3 linked regions of the Struthio camelus genome follow. The protein of the gene in region 2 interacts with the protein of the main gene of each other region in a pairwise test. Links are inferred from orthologs where the notes say so. Each region holds a gene or a part of one and is shown on either strand. Other genes may lie near its edges.

Region 1 (5,940 bases), on a different chromosome or scaffold from region 2:
TGGCAGGGCCTACAGAAAACAGATCATCGGTCAAATTCTGCTCTGATATACAGTGTTGAAAGGGTAGTACTGGAGAACAGAATTTGATCAAGAATATTTTACATAGTTTGATATTGAGGCACATTTGTCAAGGGAGGGCTATTAATGACGGTGCGGAGAGATGCTTTCAAACCTGAGCAGAAGGATCAAAATGAATAACATGATATAGAGGGGGTGAGGGTAGGCTGAAAAGAGAGGGAAAAAAAAAAGCAAAAAGGAGAAGAAAAAACAGAAAGGACTAGGGAGAACTCGTTCTAAAAAAGATCCTGAGAGAGTCTGGAGAACAGTTTTGCTGGTGATCCAGTTTTCCTGCAGAACAAGAGATAGAGAGGAGAAAGTAAATGATAGCAAGGAGAGAAAATTCAGTAATTGTTGCGAAGAGTCTGAACTCCAGAGAGGCAGCTGGTTTTCAGAGTGAAAGAGACTCATTGAAATAAGCAGCCAGAGCACTACAGCAATGAGAAACTGAACAGTAGAGAAATTACAAACAAGTACAGGCTACCATAGTTTGTATGCTCTTGCATCTCTCTTAATCCCTTATCTTTCCATTGACATTTCCTGGGCTAGGTTTAGAGGAATGATCCTTCCAAGATGGACACTGTTTATAACATGGTCATAATGGAAAAATACATTGCTTCCTCCGCTTGCAGTATTTTTTTCTGAGGCTCCTTGTCAGGACAATAACAACATTATTCCTATGGTCTTGCTTTAGTACAGAGATAGTCTAGCTGTACTACTGATTTTAGTTAGAAATAATATATTCAAAAATGGTTTTTTAACCAAAACAGAAACACTCAAGATGGCATCTAAACACTAAGTAATGTATGTGATGTTTGCTAGTGCTTTTAGAATAAATGATGTCATTTGAATTTTGTTCTACTAGAAAGCCTGCATGAATCTGTGCTTAAATTTACAAATGTGGACTGTATTTCTTAATTTAAAATGCGTATTAAAGGAACAGTTAAGCATAGTAACCCAAAATTTGGCCTGCCCTGGATGTTTTGGATCTTTGGTGTGCATGTGGCCGTTCTTTTCCACTATATCCTTCTTCTCTGTTTCCAGCAAAGGGTAGGCAGTGAGAAGTTTACAAGGCAGCAGAATACTTGTAAATGTCAACATTCAACCTGTTCACCAGAGCTGAGCAAACTGGTACGACCAGAAAGTTACATACTCATGAGAGGTGGGCGCGGGCGGAGGGGGAAGCAAGCGAGAGAGGACAAAAAAAAAAAAAAAAGGATCATGGATAGTTTCTGTAGGGTTCAGTAGGAGTGGACTTTTAATTCCAGTGATGTTGCAGGCCTCGTAATTTGGGGTAGCAGATGGGATCAGCCACATCAGTCATGATAACATCTTTTATGTTGCAACCTCCGTGTAGAGGTGGCTCCTATGACTGCAGATGTGGCCCCTTGCAGAACTGGCCCACAGAGTAGAAACAGGGAAATTCAAATTTCAAAACCAGATTTTGTTTTGCTTACCAGAGCTCGTGGAGGAGGTGGAGGAAATGCGGATACCTCATCATGGCTTATTTGGCAGGCAAACTAAACATGTTCAGAGCTGTACAACACGGAGGGAAAGCACCCCTGTTCCTGACCGTATACAATTTGAAAGCAGCACGCAGGAGGCAGAGCACACAGGGCAATTCAGAGGACGCAGCTGCGGTGCATTTATTTACTGTAGGTCTCTCCGGTTCGAAGCGATAGGTAAGAACAACAGGCACTAACGGACGGGAACAAAGCCAAAGACTTGGCAGGGGTCGCTCCCCGCTGCGAGCCCCGCGGGTCTCCCACGGCAGTGCCAGTTGGGTACGATTTGATTTTTCAGGGCTTTCACTAGGGTAACTCAGAGCCTATCAGGGTGACACAGAGGCCCAGTCACCCTGTTACTCGAGGGGTCCCGAGGGAGGCAGCGGCCGTTGGCGCTAACGGCCGCGGGGCGGGGGGCCGGACCGGCGGCGTTGTCCAAGGTCTTGAAAGTGGGGACGGCGAGCCGTGCGGGGTAGGCGACGTGCCGCCGGGCTGCCCAGGGCACCGCGCCCACCCCACCTGTTGCTCGCTTCCATTCATCAGCCGGCAGCCCCGTCGCCGGGCCCCGCGGCGCACCGCGGAGCCCGGAGCCGGCGCGCAGACCCTTTCCGCGGGCGCCGCCGCCGGGCCGGCTGAAAGCCGTGGGGGGGGGGGGGGGGGGGGGAGGGAAGGAGGTGGTGGGCACGCTGACGGGGCGGGGCCTGGTGTTTTGGTTGCGCGACAGCGCGTGTGGCCAATGCGGAGTTCGCGTTCCCCCGGGGCCGAGCCGGCGGAGCCAATGGGAGGCGGGGCCGGGAGAAGGGGTGGGGCTGGAGGGTGTGTGAGGGATAGCGAGAGCGTGTGTGTCGGTGCCCCTCCCTCCGCCTCTCTTCCCTGTCCGGCGGCTGAGGCGCACTCGAGACCCAGCGCCGGGGAGAGCGCGAGGCGAGAGAGGGAGCGAGCGCGCCAGCCCTCAACGGGCGCTCCCCCCCTCCCCCCGTTCCGTTAACGGCTCCGCCGCCCCGCGGGCGGTTTGTCCCGCGGGAGGGGCGCGGAGCGCGGCCGCTCGCAGGGAGCAGCGCGGGGAGGGGTGAGGCGAGGAGCCTGCGAGAGTGTGTGTACGTGAAGAGGGGGGCGATGGGGATCCTGCGGCGAGAGCAGCCACAGCCGGGGCAGCAGCAGGTAAGGAGCGGCGCCTGCCACCGCGTCCGTGCCCCGCGGGAGGAGGGTGTGCGGGGCGGGGGGAGGGGGCGGGCGGGATGGGACGGGTGGCTGAAGGAGAGCGGAGCGTGCCGGTGCTTTCCTTCCCGAGAAGGGCTCGGGGGGTGGGGGGGAGGGATGGGGAGAGTCTGGGCAAGGGGAGCCGGTGGGAATGGGCCCTTCTCCTCTCCCTTCCCCTCTGGTACCTTTGAGGGACCCCCGGCTGTGGGGGAGGCAGTCCCGGCTTCTCCAGGGGCTCCGCGGGGTGCCCCAGCTGGGAGGACGGCAGGCTGCGGGGCGAGGAGGTGGGAAGCGGCGGGTCTGCCGCCCTGCGGAGCCGGGAGAGGAGCCCCCTCCCCCCCCCCCCCCCCGTTTGGGCCGCGTCTCCCCCCGCCCCAGCGCGCCGCTCCGCTCTCGCCGCCGCGCCGGAGCGCGATCGCTTTGCTCCCGCACGTCGCCTTTATAAATAGCGTTGTGACCTGCTAACTAACTAATACCCGCGAGGGTGGCTGTGGGGGCGGCACGGGTGTAAATCGGGTCGTCAGTCTCTTACAGACTGGCTCTGCGACCGGCTCTAGCAGCTCTGCGTGTAGTCACGTTGTTTCGGGCTTTGAAGCCCACTTAAGGAATAATGGCAATTACGGAGTAAGTTTGTCTTCGTAGGACATCTCTGGGCTGTGGCTTTGTTTTTTCTACCGTGAAAACGGTAGAATGGGGACCACCAACCATATAATATAGCAGAGAGAAAGATTCTTTTGCCCGTGTCGTTTTCTTAAGTGATTTTAATGCAATTTGTTTACTCTTTCTGAGACTCAGCTGTATTATCAGCTGTATTCTTTGCACTGTTGCCTTGTAACGCTTTGCTGTGTGCTCGGTGATCCATTCTCCGAACTTTGTGTTTGGTTTGTTCAATGATAGTCAGCTGAGATCAACTTTGCTTTAGATTTTCTTTTTTTCTGGTTACATAGCTCATCTGTGGCGCTACACAATGTTTTGCGTAGAAGGTACATGTCCGCATGAATGCGGAACTAGTGTTCAGCCTGCTCTTGACAAAGACTGCTCTGAAGTTGACAAATTTCAGATGTGACTATTAACATTCACAAAATAGGCCGGTAAGCTAGTTTAGTATTTGATGCTGGATTATTTTAACATGTTAGTAGTTAGAATATTTGCTTTCAGCCTTGCTTTTCTGGCAGAAACTAGTTTTATTACTTCAGATGCAGAAGACTTGCAAAGTTAAAGAGAATTGCTCGTATAAATTCTTCTAAACTCTTTTGTGCGCTATTTTCACTTCTAAAAGTTAACGCTAGATGGCTTGCTTATCTCAGACATCCAACAGAGGAGGAAGGCCTCTAATCCGTCTCTGCAGCCTAGCATTCTATATTGGTCTATTTTTTTTCTTCCCATGAATACTACACTACCTTCTTGATCAGTTCTGCGCCGATTAGACCACAGCACAATGTAAAGTTTGCTTGCTAGCTGACATAATTTGTTGTTTTGATCAGTGCTTCTTACTGTTTATAGATACCATTTTATATGGTACTGCCGATATCTAAAGCAAGTTTGTTTAGTCAGAAGATAGTTTTGAAAAATATTTAGGTTATTTTAAAGGAAGGCAGCTGGATGGGAAGGGATGTTTGTAAATGGAATGGAACAATAATTCAGTCTGTTATTACTTAGCTTGACAGGCTTGTCTTCCTTTAAAAAAGGACCACAGTGTATTAAAATATGCTTGTTCAGCTATTTTTTCCTAGATTCTTTACCTGACTATTTTAGAGTGATCAATTTTGGGCTTGGACTGAGAAACCTAATGCACTACAGCCTGCTGGATATAAGAATTTGCCTAGGCCTGATGCAATTTATTTTCTGTGTTTCTCCCGAACTATGAGTGGACTGAGCGGAATACAATATTTGCCCCTGTATTTGCTTCTTTTGATAGTATCTCTGGGATAATTGAATCTTAAATCTGATCTTTGAGATATCTTTTATTATTGATGCAAAAATGTTTAAATCATCAAGAGGTATAATGCGTTATGGATATTTAAACGTCACTTAGACTCCACAACAATTGATTTATAATTTATGTAGCTTGCAGATAAAGTAAGATCACAGAGAGGTCTCTGAATCTATTGTCTTTATTTTACATGCCCAGTGAGTTACTTTTCCAGGTCATGCAGCACTTAGGTGTAACAGGAAGGAATACTTACTTGTAAGGATGCCAGACTGTTTCACCAATCATATTGGATCAATTAAAGATCATATCATTCATATATACCAAGGGTATAATGTGAAACCTAGAATTAAACAAAACCTCAATTATTTGTAGCTGATATTTGCTTACTATGCAAATCAGAATATTTTTAGAGGTTTATATTCTCTTTTCCTGAAAGAAAGATAATCTAGTCTTTTTTGTAGACATTTAATGATCCACACCATTCCTTAAGCACGTTGTGAAATACACTTGCAAATGTAGAGAGCTAAATGAGAAATTAAGCAAGCCAGCAGTCAAAGCAACCAAAACCTTCCATTTCTTCTGCTGTCTGATGACCTTTACAAGTGAACTGAGGCAGTTCTTTTTTTTTTTTTTTTTTTTTTCACTTTCAGCTTCATATTGGATGTATTAGTCAAGCGTTGCACCTAGGATTTTTATGTGCAGATCAGCAGTTCTACCTGCAGGAGAAAGTAAATATTTTCTCCTTGCCTTGACTAGGATTAAAATTATATTTAGATAGCTGAATATTAAAGTATTTTCAGTAGATTCATAGCTTTTACAGATGAGTGATCTAGTTTGCTAATAATGAGTGAGAAATGCTATATTATTATTAAAATATAAGATCCAAGTTACAGATAGTGATTTGTGGAAAGAGGGTGGGGCACTGGGTTATCTAATTTCTCATGTTAGTCATCCAAGATTGCCAACAGTAGCTGTGTTGACAGTTTGAAATGGAATCACGTTTTGATGAATGTACCTTTCTCTCTGAATGTAGTTTTTGCTTTGCAGTTTGAAATGTTTTATTGCCCTATTATATTTATGCTCAGACTTGACCGGTGATTGGGCAAGCTGGGTTTGAATCAGTGAACGAAAGAGGAGATGGCTGTGTGTGTTTTATATGTTGCAGTATTGTACTCAAAGTCAGAATTTTTGCTATGTTAGGTAACATAATTTGTATCTAACTCTTTAAAACATTGCTTCTTGCAA
Region 2 (5,940 bases):
CATCCCAAAGCGATAGGCACAAGTGATTTAAATTGCAAACCCACAATACCCTGAGTAGATGATTGCTGCCATACCGATGTGACCTAGAGGATCTCTGCGTTGCTGAATTGTGAAATGTAGGAAACGTGATATGAAAGAAAGGAGCGTGGAAGAAAAATAAGTGTAGAAAAAAGAAACTCAGATTTAAAATAATGTCACTTCAGAGGATGCCAGCAGGTGGGTAGCCTATTACGGAAGAAAATCTTACCAAAGTGCAAAGACAAGTATTTGAGGAATGCTTTGGTGTCCGTACATGGGAACTCCCGGCTGAACTCTGATGCAGGAACATTCTCTCACTACAGAACCATTCTTGTATTATCACTAACATAAAATTATGTTAACTTGTATAAGGTATTCCGATAATATTGAATTATTCAGATTTATATAAGGAGGATAAAATGCACCACTTGAACATAATTGCCCTACTGTGCATAACTGACAAACATTTCTACTGACTGGTTTGACATTATATTGGCTTCCTAAGCTATGCTTGAGAAACCCAGCTCACTTCTCACTGCTGAATCTTCTCACTTCCAATGTTTTCAAGTCATCCTGTTTGCTGTTATCCTAACTAAGCAAACCATGTGCTGCCCACAGATGTTACTCGTATTTGCTAATCTGGTATTTATGTTGTCATTTATTCTTTCTCCTAAGGTTACTGCATACTATGTCCTGTAAATCTCATTGTGAAGTAAGATGCTTAGCCCTACCGACAGTTAAAATGAAACACTGCTCTCTCCACAGCAGGGTCTGAGAACCAAGCAGGCACTGGAGAAGTCAGTACTGGTCCTGTACAGAACGGACTGTACAGTCCCTGATGCTGTGAACGGCTTCACAAAGACAGTCCCAGCTAGTACCTCTGCAATAATTAGGCCGAAAGGCAGCCAGCTGGCACAGTAAGAAAGAAGTGAGGTACAACTTTTTCATGCCCCTGGCATCTGAAAGGTTCGACAACTGTCTTTCTCTCTTGTGCTGCTTGGAACAGAAGGCACATTAATACTGTGCTTCAATTCTTCAAAATCCTTGTACTGATAATAGATATATTGAAAGGAAATAACTATCTCAAACGTGTAATATTAGGTGATTCTAGCTCCTGCATGCTGTGGGTCAGTCTCCTATCCTTAATGTTTTGCTCATGTTAACTCTGTTATAATAACTACACAGTGAAGTCATGTTCAGTTTCCAGGCTTTTTATTAGGAAATACATTTTTTTGGTAGCTCTGATATTAGGTCTGAGATAGATTCTGCTTCTTAGCCAGAGAAGTCATCAAGGCTGGTGGTTTCTGTTTTCGGTGTTATGTTTTCCCCTCCTCCCTATTTTAGGGATATGTAAATAGGCAAAAATACTTATGTAGCTTCAGGTGCAAGTGCATCTTCATCGCCAATGCAATACATGTATTTGCATTGTGTATGTGTGTTTCTCTGTTGTCCACCCCACCCTCCAATGCCTTTAGACTTTTTGGAAATTTAATATCTCTGGAAGTGTCCCAGGACTGAATTAATATTTTGTGTTTGTTAGTGAAAAGAACAGGCAAAAAGGCAGGATGGCTCAAGAGAAATGAGGATGTGGAAATGGAAATTGCCACATCTGAGGGGGAAGCAAAATGCAGATCGCTCCAAGTGTACACGGACAGTGACTGTATAATCTCCATCCCAGAACACTAAAAGAACTGGAGCATGAAATTGCAGGTCTAGCAGCAATGATCTGTGCGTATCTCTCAGTGCAGGAGCGCTGCCATGTCAGTCGAGAATAACAAATGAGAAGGGAGGGAACGTGATCCGGTCCACGGCAGACCTGTCTCTCTGATCTAAATAACGCGCAGGGCTCAGCGCGTGTTTTGCACATCAGAGGGCCTGGAACTGAATGAACGCAGTATAAAATGCGACCCACGCTTAGCAAAGGTAGATCGTAACACGCTCGCCTCCTACTTCCTTTTTCTTGCAAGGCAGATGGCTTCGCAGATAACGGCAGCGCAGTGAATCAGGTCTCTCTGGATGTCGGCCGAACCGCGGATACAGAGCCATAGGGAAAGTTCCTAGTTCAGGATGGTAAAGCAGGTGCAGAGCTCACTAAAGGAGAGGAAAACGGGGGGCGGCAAGAGGTGCTGAAAGAAGGAAGCTAGGGATGGAGTCGCGAAGGAAGGAGTTTTGAGCTCAGCCCGGCTTTGGACCTTCTTCATAAGGAGTGAAAGCCGGGGGCCGTCCCTGGAGGAGAACAGGGCGCAGCTCCTTCGGGAGGAGCTGGGCGCCTCTGCGAGCCGCAGCAGCGCCGGCCGCGCGGACCGCCGGGCCGAGAGCTGCTGCCCAGCGCGGCGGGCGGGCAGCGGGAGGCAGCCAAGGGGGGGCCGGGGCCGGGGCCGCGAGGGCCGAAGGGAAGGCGGCGGTGCCCAGGAGGCACCCCCAGCGCCAGCCGCAACGGCAGGCCGGGGCCCCGCCCCCTCGCCCCGGCCCCGCCCCGCGCTGACGCACGGCAGGGGCGGGGCGCGGCGCGGCGCGGCGCGTGCCTGCGTGCGTGCGTCCGCGCGTGCGGGGCGGGGCGGGGCCTGGCCTGCCCTGCCGGGAGGGGGAGGGCGCACGGGAGGAAGGAGGAAGCCGCCATCTTGGAGCGTCGAGTCGCCATAACAAGGCACCAAGGGGGAGCGAGAGGATTTTATACCTGAGCGAGGGGGGAGCGCGGCTGGTGGCGGTGAGGACGGGCCAGGGCGCCGGGGCGGGCGCGGGGCCGCGGGGAGCGCAATGGAGGCCGCCGCCGCCCGGCCGAGCCTCGCGGCCTGCGCCGCGTCGCGGGAGCGGCGGGGCCTGGCCCGGGCCTGGCGGCGCTGAGGGGCCGCGGGCCGGGCGGCTGCGGCCGGGGCGGTGCGGGAGGCGGCGGCGGCGCGGCGGCGGCCGCGGCGCTCGCTGCCGGCCCGAGCGGCGGGGCCGCGGGCGAGCGGGCGCTTCTCCATTGTTCGCGGGCGGGAGGTGCCGGTATGGCGCAGCTGCGTTGCGCGGGCGGCGCGGCCCCGCCGCCGGGCCCGGGGCGACGCCGCGCTGCGGCCTGGCCCGGGGTGGCGGCAACAATGGGCGCCGCGGGGGTTCCCGCGGCGGGGCCGGCTGGGCGGCCGCTTTGTGCCGCCCGGCTGGGCCGCGGAGCGGTGTGTCGTATCTGCTGCCGGCGGAGGAGGGAGCGGCCGGGGGGCGGCTGCCGCGCCTGCCTACGTGGGCTGCCTCGGCAGGGGAAGCCCGGGGTGCGGGGGCCTCTTTGCGGTCGGACCGCCAGTTTGTGAAATGGTGGCGCTGCTTGTTTTGGACGTGGAGGTGTGCCGGGCCTGGGGAGGTTGTGTGCTGCCTTTCAAAGGATGAGCACGAACGAGGGAGGCTAGAGGACTAGAACTCCCTTTAATAAAAACATTGGAGGAACTCTTGTTGGTGTATCCGGAGTTTTTAGGTGACTCGTCCGTTTGGGTGTGAAAGTAAGGTTAAGGGGGGCTGTCTTTTCAAAGAAGATGTTTAAACCGTGCTTCTAGCCAGGAAACTAACTAGGAAATAATCTTAATTCTAATAAGCTTGAAGTTATGCTATGAAGCTATAATCAATACGCTGGGAAACAGCTGAACAATTCGAGAAGAGTTTGAATTCCGTTTCTATCTGCTTTCCTAAGTATAGTATTTATGTCACTTTAAACTTCAGATGCCAGTATCTGTTTTAAATCTGTGTTTTAGTCGCTGAGGAGTATGCATTTTTTTGGACGTTGAACTTGGCAATCATCAGCCTGCTGGTTTTCCCTTTGTATTGTCCCAAGATGCAGATGCTTTGCAATGAGAAATGTTACCTGCAAGCCTACTTTCTGTTCCTCTAAAAAAGTTTTAGACTAGGGAGTGTCTTGGCTCCCTATTACCATCATAAGAAGAGTTTTTCAACTCTGGCCATGTACGTGCTATATGTAAGATACAAGCTTTATATTATCTGCATATGTTTTTGTCGACTCTTTTGTTAAGTATGACGTCACTGTCAAGTTACGCATTCGAATGTTATCTTTTGAGCGCGGTATGGATTGTTAGTGACAGCTGGAATGTAACGTCATGCAGCACACAAGCAGGAAGCTGCGTACCTAGTGTACATGTGTTTATTCATTGCTTCAGACTAGAGATGAAAGAACAGTTTAGGTGCAGTCATTTAGACTTAACAAAGCAGGAAGCTGCTGTCAGTTCAGCTTGATGATGTCATAAGTTTTGCTCTTCTGAATGATTTATAAATGTTTAAGTTGGGTATTGGTTTAAAGTAAGCTGACTAAACTAATTTTTGGGGGTGGATGAGGGAAAACTTCCAAGTCACTCCTGTAGTTGGTTGGGTTTTTAAGATGGTATGTCATCATTCCTATTTCTAGTTGAAAGGACAAGTCAGAGTATCTTAAGGGTCTTTTGAATTCTGCCTATAATGTCCATTCGATATTGTGGTCTTACTTTCTGTCATAAACTTCTGTGTGATGTTGTTGCTTAGTGTTTTATGGCTGCTCTGCTGTGTCCCAAAGGTGGGTGCATTTCAAGGATAGGCAAAGCAGCTGATATAATTCATGCCTACTTTACAAGGGGGCTAGGTAGTATTTTTCAAGTGATTAATCCCAGGAAGGCTGCTGAAAGTTCACAAAATGATCTCCGGTGACCTACAGTGTTGCACTCAGCTTTATAGCAAGGGAAAACAGTTTGGTGTGTTTGGGGTACTTAAACCGAGGAAATAGAAAAGCAGGTACTTTGTGTTGCATGCTGCCTGAGAAGAAGTGATTTTTAGGTAATGCATGTTATTGCAGGCAGTTTTACAATATAAACAGATGCAAATTCCATAGGCAAGAAATCCACATATTAATTGTTGTCATCTGCTTCTTTTTCAGATTGAAGCAAGTGAATTTGGATATAACTCAACTTTGTTAGAGGGCTTTTTTTAAAAAAAAAAAAGTTGATCCACAGTGCATCAGAGCAAGTTACTGCTTTACTTTTGAGTGACTTACAGGTGCTTGCCTGCATTGCAATAAAGGACTCATATATTGAGCAAGACTTATTTATCTCTTCATTTTGGAGAGTCTAATAAACTGTTATTACAGTTTCTGTACTGACTTTCAAAGTTTTGAAGTCTAAAAAGACATCTTTAAAAATAAAAACATGAGCACGGCCAGAACAGAGAACCCTGTTATAATGGGTCTATCCAGTCAGAATGGGCAGTTGAGAGGCCCTGTTAAACCCAGCGGGGGCCCAGGAGGTGGAGGCACACAGACTCAGCAACAGATGAACCAGCTGAAAAATGCCAACACAATCAATAACGGCACTCAACAGCAAGCACAGAGTATGACCACCACTATTAAGTAAGTATTCATGTAAATACTAAATAACGTTAGCTGACGTAAAAATAACATTTAAATTTCATGCATGGGAAAGTGTAATTGGTTTCTTGTATTTAAAAAGTTTTTTATTCTATTGTTTTATGATATTGGTGACAGAGGTGTCCTGTGACATGCATTTAAAAAAAGAAAGGATTTTCAGGTGTGAGCGTCTCTCTGACAGTGGTCTTTAGTAATTTAGTAGTTGTGAAAATTGAATTTGGTACTTTGTTTTTCAAAGCATATAGTCACTTGACAAAAGTAGCACTAGACTGAGCAGCATCATCCTGTTTCCTTTGCTTGTTGCAAGCAGTAGGAGAAGGGAATTGGGGAGCGTGAAGGAACTGAATTGAGATTTAAGACAGAGGAGGAAGTACCACGTAGCCTTAGCCTAGTTGTGTGTGGTTTTCATTTATTTGTTGTAGATGTCTGTCATGGTGAGAAATTCTTTAAAATCAGTTATCTTTTCTCATTCATCTTAAGCAAGTCACTTTTCCCATTAAGTTCTGTGAATTAAACAGTAGTGTGCACTCTCCGCAATGGAACACTAT
Region 3 (5,940 bases), on a different chromosome or scaffold from region 2:
GAGAAATCAGTTAGATAATGCCAGCCCCATAGCCATCTGACAACTAGGATGGATGACGTTTAAGACTAACAAAGCATAGACCAAATACCATGAGAACATTTTGCCTTATTTTCTAAAAAGATTTTAATATGTATGACAGCAATGATAAGAATATTGCCTAAGAACTGGGACAGGGCACAACAGTATCTGAGATGTAAGTAAAACCTATCCTGCTTGCTTTGCCGAGACTGAGGGAGAGGAAAGGGAACCGACAGTGGAACTGACAAACTCCACCGGACTGAGCACAATTTAGAAAGAATAAGCACAGCTAATTGCAAGTTAGTAGTAGCTAGTAGCCAGTTTCCAGTGGTTCTGTAAATTCAGGGATAGCAGTGTATGAGAATTAACCAAAGGACAGCTGTACCAGCTCATCTAACCCACTATCCTGTTTACAATAGCAGTCAAAAGCAGTTGCTCTGTGGAAGAATATGGCAAGCATACAGCAATACTTTTACCTGACTTTTAACTGTAGGAGGTTTATGACTCGGGGATTTCCTGAGATACAGGACATTTCTGTGAGCAAATATCAGGTCTCTCTCATGAGCTGGTCCAGTATCCCACATAACACTCCAACTTTTCGTGTCCACAACAGCCTGTGGCAAGAAATTCCAGTGTCTAACTACAAGTTATCTGAGGAACCACTTGTGATTTTATAGACTTTCATCTTACCTCATCTGCCTCAATTTTTTTCTGGTTTGGAGATTCCACACAGCATAGACATTTGCACAAAGCTGTTCCAGACCTTTTATCATTTCTCTTTCCCTTTTCAGGCTCCTGTGTATCCTCTTTGAGATGAGTGACACCTGGACTGTACAGAGTATTCAACGTGCAGGTATGCACCACTGAATAATGTAAGAACTGGAAGAAGTTGGGAACTGGGGTTATGCTGAGTTACCCTGAAAGGGGAGTGATGAGGAGGAAGAGAGTTACTAATGGTCCCCTGGACCAGCTTTGGAATCAGTTCAGCTAATACATTATTTAGACTTTGATGTAAAAGTACAATACAATCTTATGACATTTGCAGATGATACAAATTCTAAGGAATTGTCAATACCACGCAAAATGGAATTTACAGGAATTTACAGATTAAAGTCTTTTTGGACTGCACTGACAGAAATGTGGAAAATTTAACAGTACAAAATGCAAAAAGTATGACTTTAGATAGAAGAATACATATTACAAGCTACTGGACACAACCGAAGACTAGAGAGATGTATCCACTGATCACACGATGATTATGAAGTAGTATTGTGACATGGCTGGAAAAGGCTGGTCAGCTGTAGGATACAGCAGATTCAAATGTTTTCAGTTGTCGGAGAATTAATATCATTGTCCAGGGCCCTGAACAGTGTCATGTCAAATACTGTTCAAGCTCTGATCACTTTTATGTTCAAGAATGATTAATTTAAACTGGCAGGTCTTATGAAAGATTTAAGAATGCGGCCTGCATATTAAAGTTTGAAAGGAGATGGAATCCACAAAACGAGGGAAGGTTATTAAAAAGGGTGAATTAAGTTGACAATAAATATTGTTACAACATATATGGATATAAATTGGGTATGACTAAATTTATAGGATATCCTGAGAGAATGTTTTTGACTATGAGAGGAAAGAGTCTGTAGATAACTTTCCCTTTTCCCCACAGTGGGGAAAAGGAACTTAAATTGTTTCAAGATGGAATGTCTTAAGTTTATGGAAGGGAGGGCTAAAAAGGACACAAAGGATATGGTTAAGGCAGAACGGCTCCCATGGGAGAAGAAGTATTTATGAGAAATATCTGGGGTGTCAGAGCACAGAAAATACCCTGGTGGTAAGAACAGGAAAGAGAAAGATTCCAAACTTCAAGTGAGACAAGGTGAGAGGCTTGGGTGGAAGGATTTCAGATATTATGGTTTCTTCAGAAGATAACGGAGACATGCAAAAACAGAGGAACACTACATCTCCTCTTGAGGAAGCCGCAGGCATATGAAGGAAGGATTTGGGTCATCAAGGCCCCTGCTATAGATAAAGGTGTGAGAAGGAAACATCTAGGGCATCACATCCCCTCTTGGGTAGCATGTGGGTGTGAGAGGAGGGAAGCAGCCCAGACTGCAGGGCGATCAGGCAGAGGAAGCTGCTGGGCTGTGCCTGCAATCGGTGCGTTGCCCCTTTAATTGTGTCCCCAGCCCTCGGGCGTCTCTGTCCAACGCCCACGTCAGCAAATACCTTTTGTTTCTCTCACGTTCGGGCTTCCAGGGTTTGGGGCTGCGGGACCAACACATTGCCTTAAACCGCAAAGAGCCCCGACGCGGGGGCCGGGGATCCCGCATCCACCGCCTGCTCCTCTCGGCGAAGCGGCAGCGGCGGCGGCAGCAGCCACCCGCAGAACCCAGCCGGTAAGTGGCGGCTCTCGCACGCCGGCAGGCCAGACAGGGCGTTGGGATTTGGGGGCGGAAAGGGCCCCAGAGCGAGCCTGCTGCGAGGGGCGGCGAGGGACGTCCCTCGGCTCCGCAGTCCCCGCTGGGCGGCCGGCGCGCTCCCCGCCGCCGCTCGGAGCCGCTCGTTACCCGGGCTGCACAGCGCTGGGAGAGACCTAAGCGGGCGCCATTTGCAGCCCCGGGCGCGGCTGCGAGGAGCCAGGCACGGCAACAAAGGGCTGCGCGGGAGCGGGAGCTGGGCAGCGGGTGTGGGGCGAGAGGGGCCGCGGCAGGGGGCGGGCAGGGCGCTGCCGGCGCGGCGGAGGCGGCGGGCAGCGGCGGCAGGAGCTGCTGGGGCCACGCCGGGCGCCAGGCGCCGGGCTGCCGCCGCGCGGCGGAGCCCCCGCGGGGCCGGGGGAGCGGGAACCGCGGCTCCGGCAACGCGAGCGGCTCCGCGGTCGCTCCGGCTGCGGCCCCGGCGCGCCTGGCGCGGTGTCCCGGTGGGCGCGCGCAGCCGCCCGGAGCCCTGGCGGGCGCTGACGCTGCGCTCCCCGCGGCAAGCGGCGGCGGCGGCAGCAGGACCGGGGGCGGCAGCCCGCGCAGCCAGGCGGTGCCGAGGCGCCTTGGCGGGCGGGCCTTGCGCCGCCGGGCGTCCCGGGCTCCCGAGGGTCGAGCGACCAATTCGGCCGGGCGGGCGGGTGAGTGACGGCGACCGCTACCAATGCTGGGGGAGCCCGGGCCGGGAGGGCTGCGGCTGCTGAGGGCTCCGCCGCTGACTACCCATTTCTGGTCCCTTCGGAGGCGAGGATATGAGCCCAGCCGGACCAGGGCGATGTGATAACGTCAACTCAAGGCATGGACACACTCTTCAACCGAGACACTCGCAACTGCTGAAGGGCTCGTCGTCTTGTTGCTGACTGTCTGAAGGTTGTACAGCTTCCAGCGAGTTGCACACATCCTTAGGAAGTAGATGCTCCTAGCTGTAGCACACGCATCTCTGCCAAATAACGTGTATGGGTTTATGTGGCTTTTTCTATTTTTGCAGTCTTTTCTTTTCAAAATAGAATGTATGGTTATGCATATTGTTATTTAAAAACATATATTTTAAGAAGGATTATTTTAAAAGATATCTGTAAAACTGGTGCAGTATCTTTGGCTGAGTTGTAGGATGCTGAACTCAAGACTTTAATTATGTTTTTATTTTAGAGCAACACTTCATTTCACCTTTTCTGGAATGGAGATTTCTTCCCACCAGTTTCACCTCCTGCAACAACTAAATGAGCAGCGCAGGCAGGACTTATTCTGTGACTGCAATATCTTGGTTGAGGGAAAGGTCTTCAAAGCACATCGAAATGTGCTGTTTGCCAGCAGTGGCTATTTCAAAATGCTCCTTTCACAGAGTTCAAAGGAGACTAGTCAGCCAACAACAGCTACTTTCCAGGCATTTTCTCCTGATACGTTTACAGTTATTCTAGATTTTGTGTATTCAGGCAAACTGTCCCTTACTGGTCAGAACGTCATTGAAGTCATGTCAGCGGCTAGCTATCTTCAGATGACCGATGTTATCAGCGTGTGTAAGACATTCATTAAGTCATCTCTGGACATCAGTGAGAAGGAAAAGGACCGCTACTTCAGTCTTTCGGACAAAGATGTAAATTCAAATGGCGTGGACCGCTCCTGCTTATATGGTGCTGGCTGGAGGGCAGAAAGCAGCCCCCCACATTCTCACTTAAATCCGGATCAAGGGACATGTATGATGGGTGGAAGTGCTTGGAGCAATTTCAACTACTATCCAACTTCTCAAAGAAATGCACAGCAACAGCTGTCCAAGCATGACCAAAGGCAGGATTCCATTAAAAAAACCAGGCACCTAGGACTGCAGCAATCTTCTGACATTCCTCACTATAAATCAAGCAAACTTGAGGACAGGGCTTCTGAGCCTGCTGGCCACGTTACTCAATCTGAGGAGCAAGTTCAGATTGAAACAGAAGTTGAATCTCCTCACGTGGGATACCAGTACGGTCAAGGGTCTGATGTGATACCAAGGAGTTTAGCTGTATCACAGCAAGAGCATGAATCACCTCGTTCTTCTGGCAAATCCAAGTCTTCAAAAGCAGACGAGCAGTATACGAGCATGCCCTCGATTCTAGGTGTCATGGGAAGCTGGGCTGAAGGTAAGAGTTGGTTTTAATGCTCTAAGTATAAGTACATAATCATCTGTTAATCGTCTGTTCTGTCAGTAAGAAAATATACATTGCTAAGAAAGTGTATATTGACAAAAGTTGGTCTGTATTGCCCAGAAATGTAACTTTGGAAAGTTTAACTCTTATTTTTTAATAATTATGAATGACAGAAATGTCTGTCTTAAATTTGTCTTGATAGCTGTATTAGTTTATTAAAACTAGCCTTTCAGAATGCATAACCTTTAGCGTCTCCACAGCTTGATCCTGCAAATATAAGTCATTAGTTTTTTTGGATTTTTAAAATCCATTTTAAAATAGCTAATGGACCGCTCCATTTTTTTTATTGCGCTCCTGTGTAATTAACAGGAAAATACAAGATCTTTGTATTTGAAAAGACCTATAATAATATTTTTTAAAAATAAAAATGGCTTGCCATTTTGCTCGTGTTGCTTTTCATAACTAGAATAACCTTTTCCTAGAATATTACATGACTAGACTTGTTATGACTTATAAAGTTTGTCTTAAATTATTTTCTCACAGATGATCTGCCCAGGATGAGGTTCAAGTGCCCATTCTGTACACATGTGGTGAAAAGAAAAGCAGACTTAAAGCGTCACCTTCGCTGTCATACAGGAGAGCGCCCTTACCCTTGTGAGGCATGTGGAAAAAGATTTAGCAGGCTAGATCACCTAAGTAGCCATTTTCGAACAGTATGTATTTTTAGTAACTGCATGATTTGTTTAATGTGTAAATCTAACTGTGTTAGTACAATTAAAGGAGACTAGTCAGCCAACAACAGCTACTTTCCAGGCATTTTCTCCTGATACGTTTACAGTTATTCTAGATCTGGTTGATATACTGGCTACCTTAAGAGGTAATACAAAATTAATCCAGTTTTGTTTAAACCAATGATGTGAAGCATAATTCATATGAAAATTCTTTGTTAATTGATGGCTCAGAAAGGTACTGCGCTCTGAGTCCTGTAATAGAGCCTAAGTTGACAATTATAGAGCCTGTGTTTGCTGCGTTTTTAACATTTGGATGATCGTCTGTCAAAATGAGGTAACACTACCATTTGACACAACTCTAGCCTCACTTTTTGTTATCTTAAAAAACACTTTTTCCCTGTGGATAAAATATCAAATTTATTCATTTCAATTTTCCCAGATTCATCAGGCTTGTAAGCCTATCTGCAGAAAGTGTAAACGCCACGTGACTGAGCTAACAGGACAAGTGGTCCAAGAGGGGACAAGACGTTACAGACTCTGTAATGAGTGTTTGGCTGAAGCTGGCATAGACAGTATTCGCATTGACTTGGAGGC

What was found.
Region 1: the proteins of DDX6 (region 2) and SIPA1L2 interact in binary tests that used the Homo sapiens proteins (3 or more experiments, as listed by UniProt). The two-hybrid records come from large-scale screens. The link is inferred for Struthio camelus from reciprocal best matches to the Homo sapiens genes DDX6 and SIPA1L2.
Region 3: the proteins of DDX6 (region 2) and zinc finger and BTB domain-containing protein 8A interact in binary tests that used the Homo sapiens proteins (3 or more experiments, as listed by UniProt). The two-hybrid records come from large-scale screens. The link is inferred for Struthio camelus from reciprocal best matches to the Homo sapiens genes DDX6 and ZBTB8A.

Annotation. Positions count from the first base shown.
Region 1 is NC_090944.1:90,413,884-90,419,823, forward strand, and holds the start of SIPA1L2 (signal-induced proliferation-associated 1-like protein 2), read left to right. Parts: upstream 1-2,367; 5' UTR 2,368-2,723; intron 2,724-5,940.
Region 2 is NC_090963.1:134,683-140,622, reverse strand, and holds the start of DDX6 (probable ATP-dependent RNA helicase DDX6), read left to right. Parts: upstream 1-2,591; 5' UTR 2,592-2,725; intron 2,726-3,740; exon of another isoform or gene 3,741-3,948; intron 3,949-4,906; 5' UTR 4,907-5,174; coding exon 5,175-5,374; intron 5,375-5,940.
Region 3 is NC_090964.1:8,489,220-8,495,159, reverse strand, and holds the start of zinc finger and BTB domain-containing protein 8A, read left to right. Parts: upstream 1-2,185; 5' UTR 2,186-2,414; intron 2,415-2,476; exon of another isoform or gene 2,477-2,658; intron 2,659-3,224; exon of another isoform or gene 3,225-3,236; 5' UTR 3,237-3,405; coding exon 3,406-3,446; intron 3,447-3,641; coding exon 3,642-4,609; intron 4,610-5,158; coding exon 5,159-5,328; intron 5,329-5,785; coding exon 5,786-5,940. UniProt on the Homo sapiens protein: May be involved in transcriptional regulation.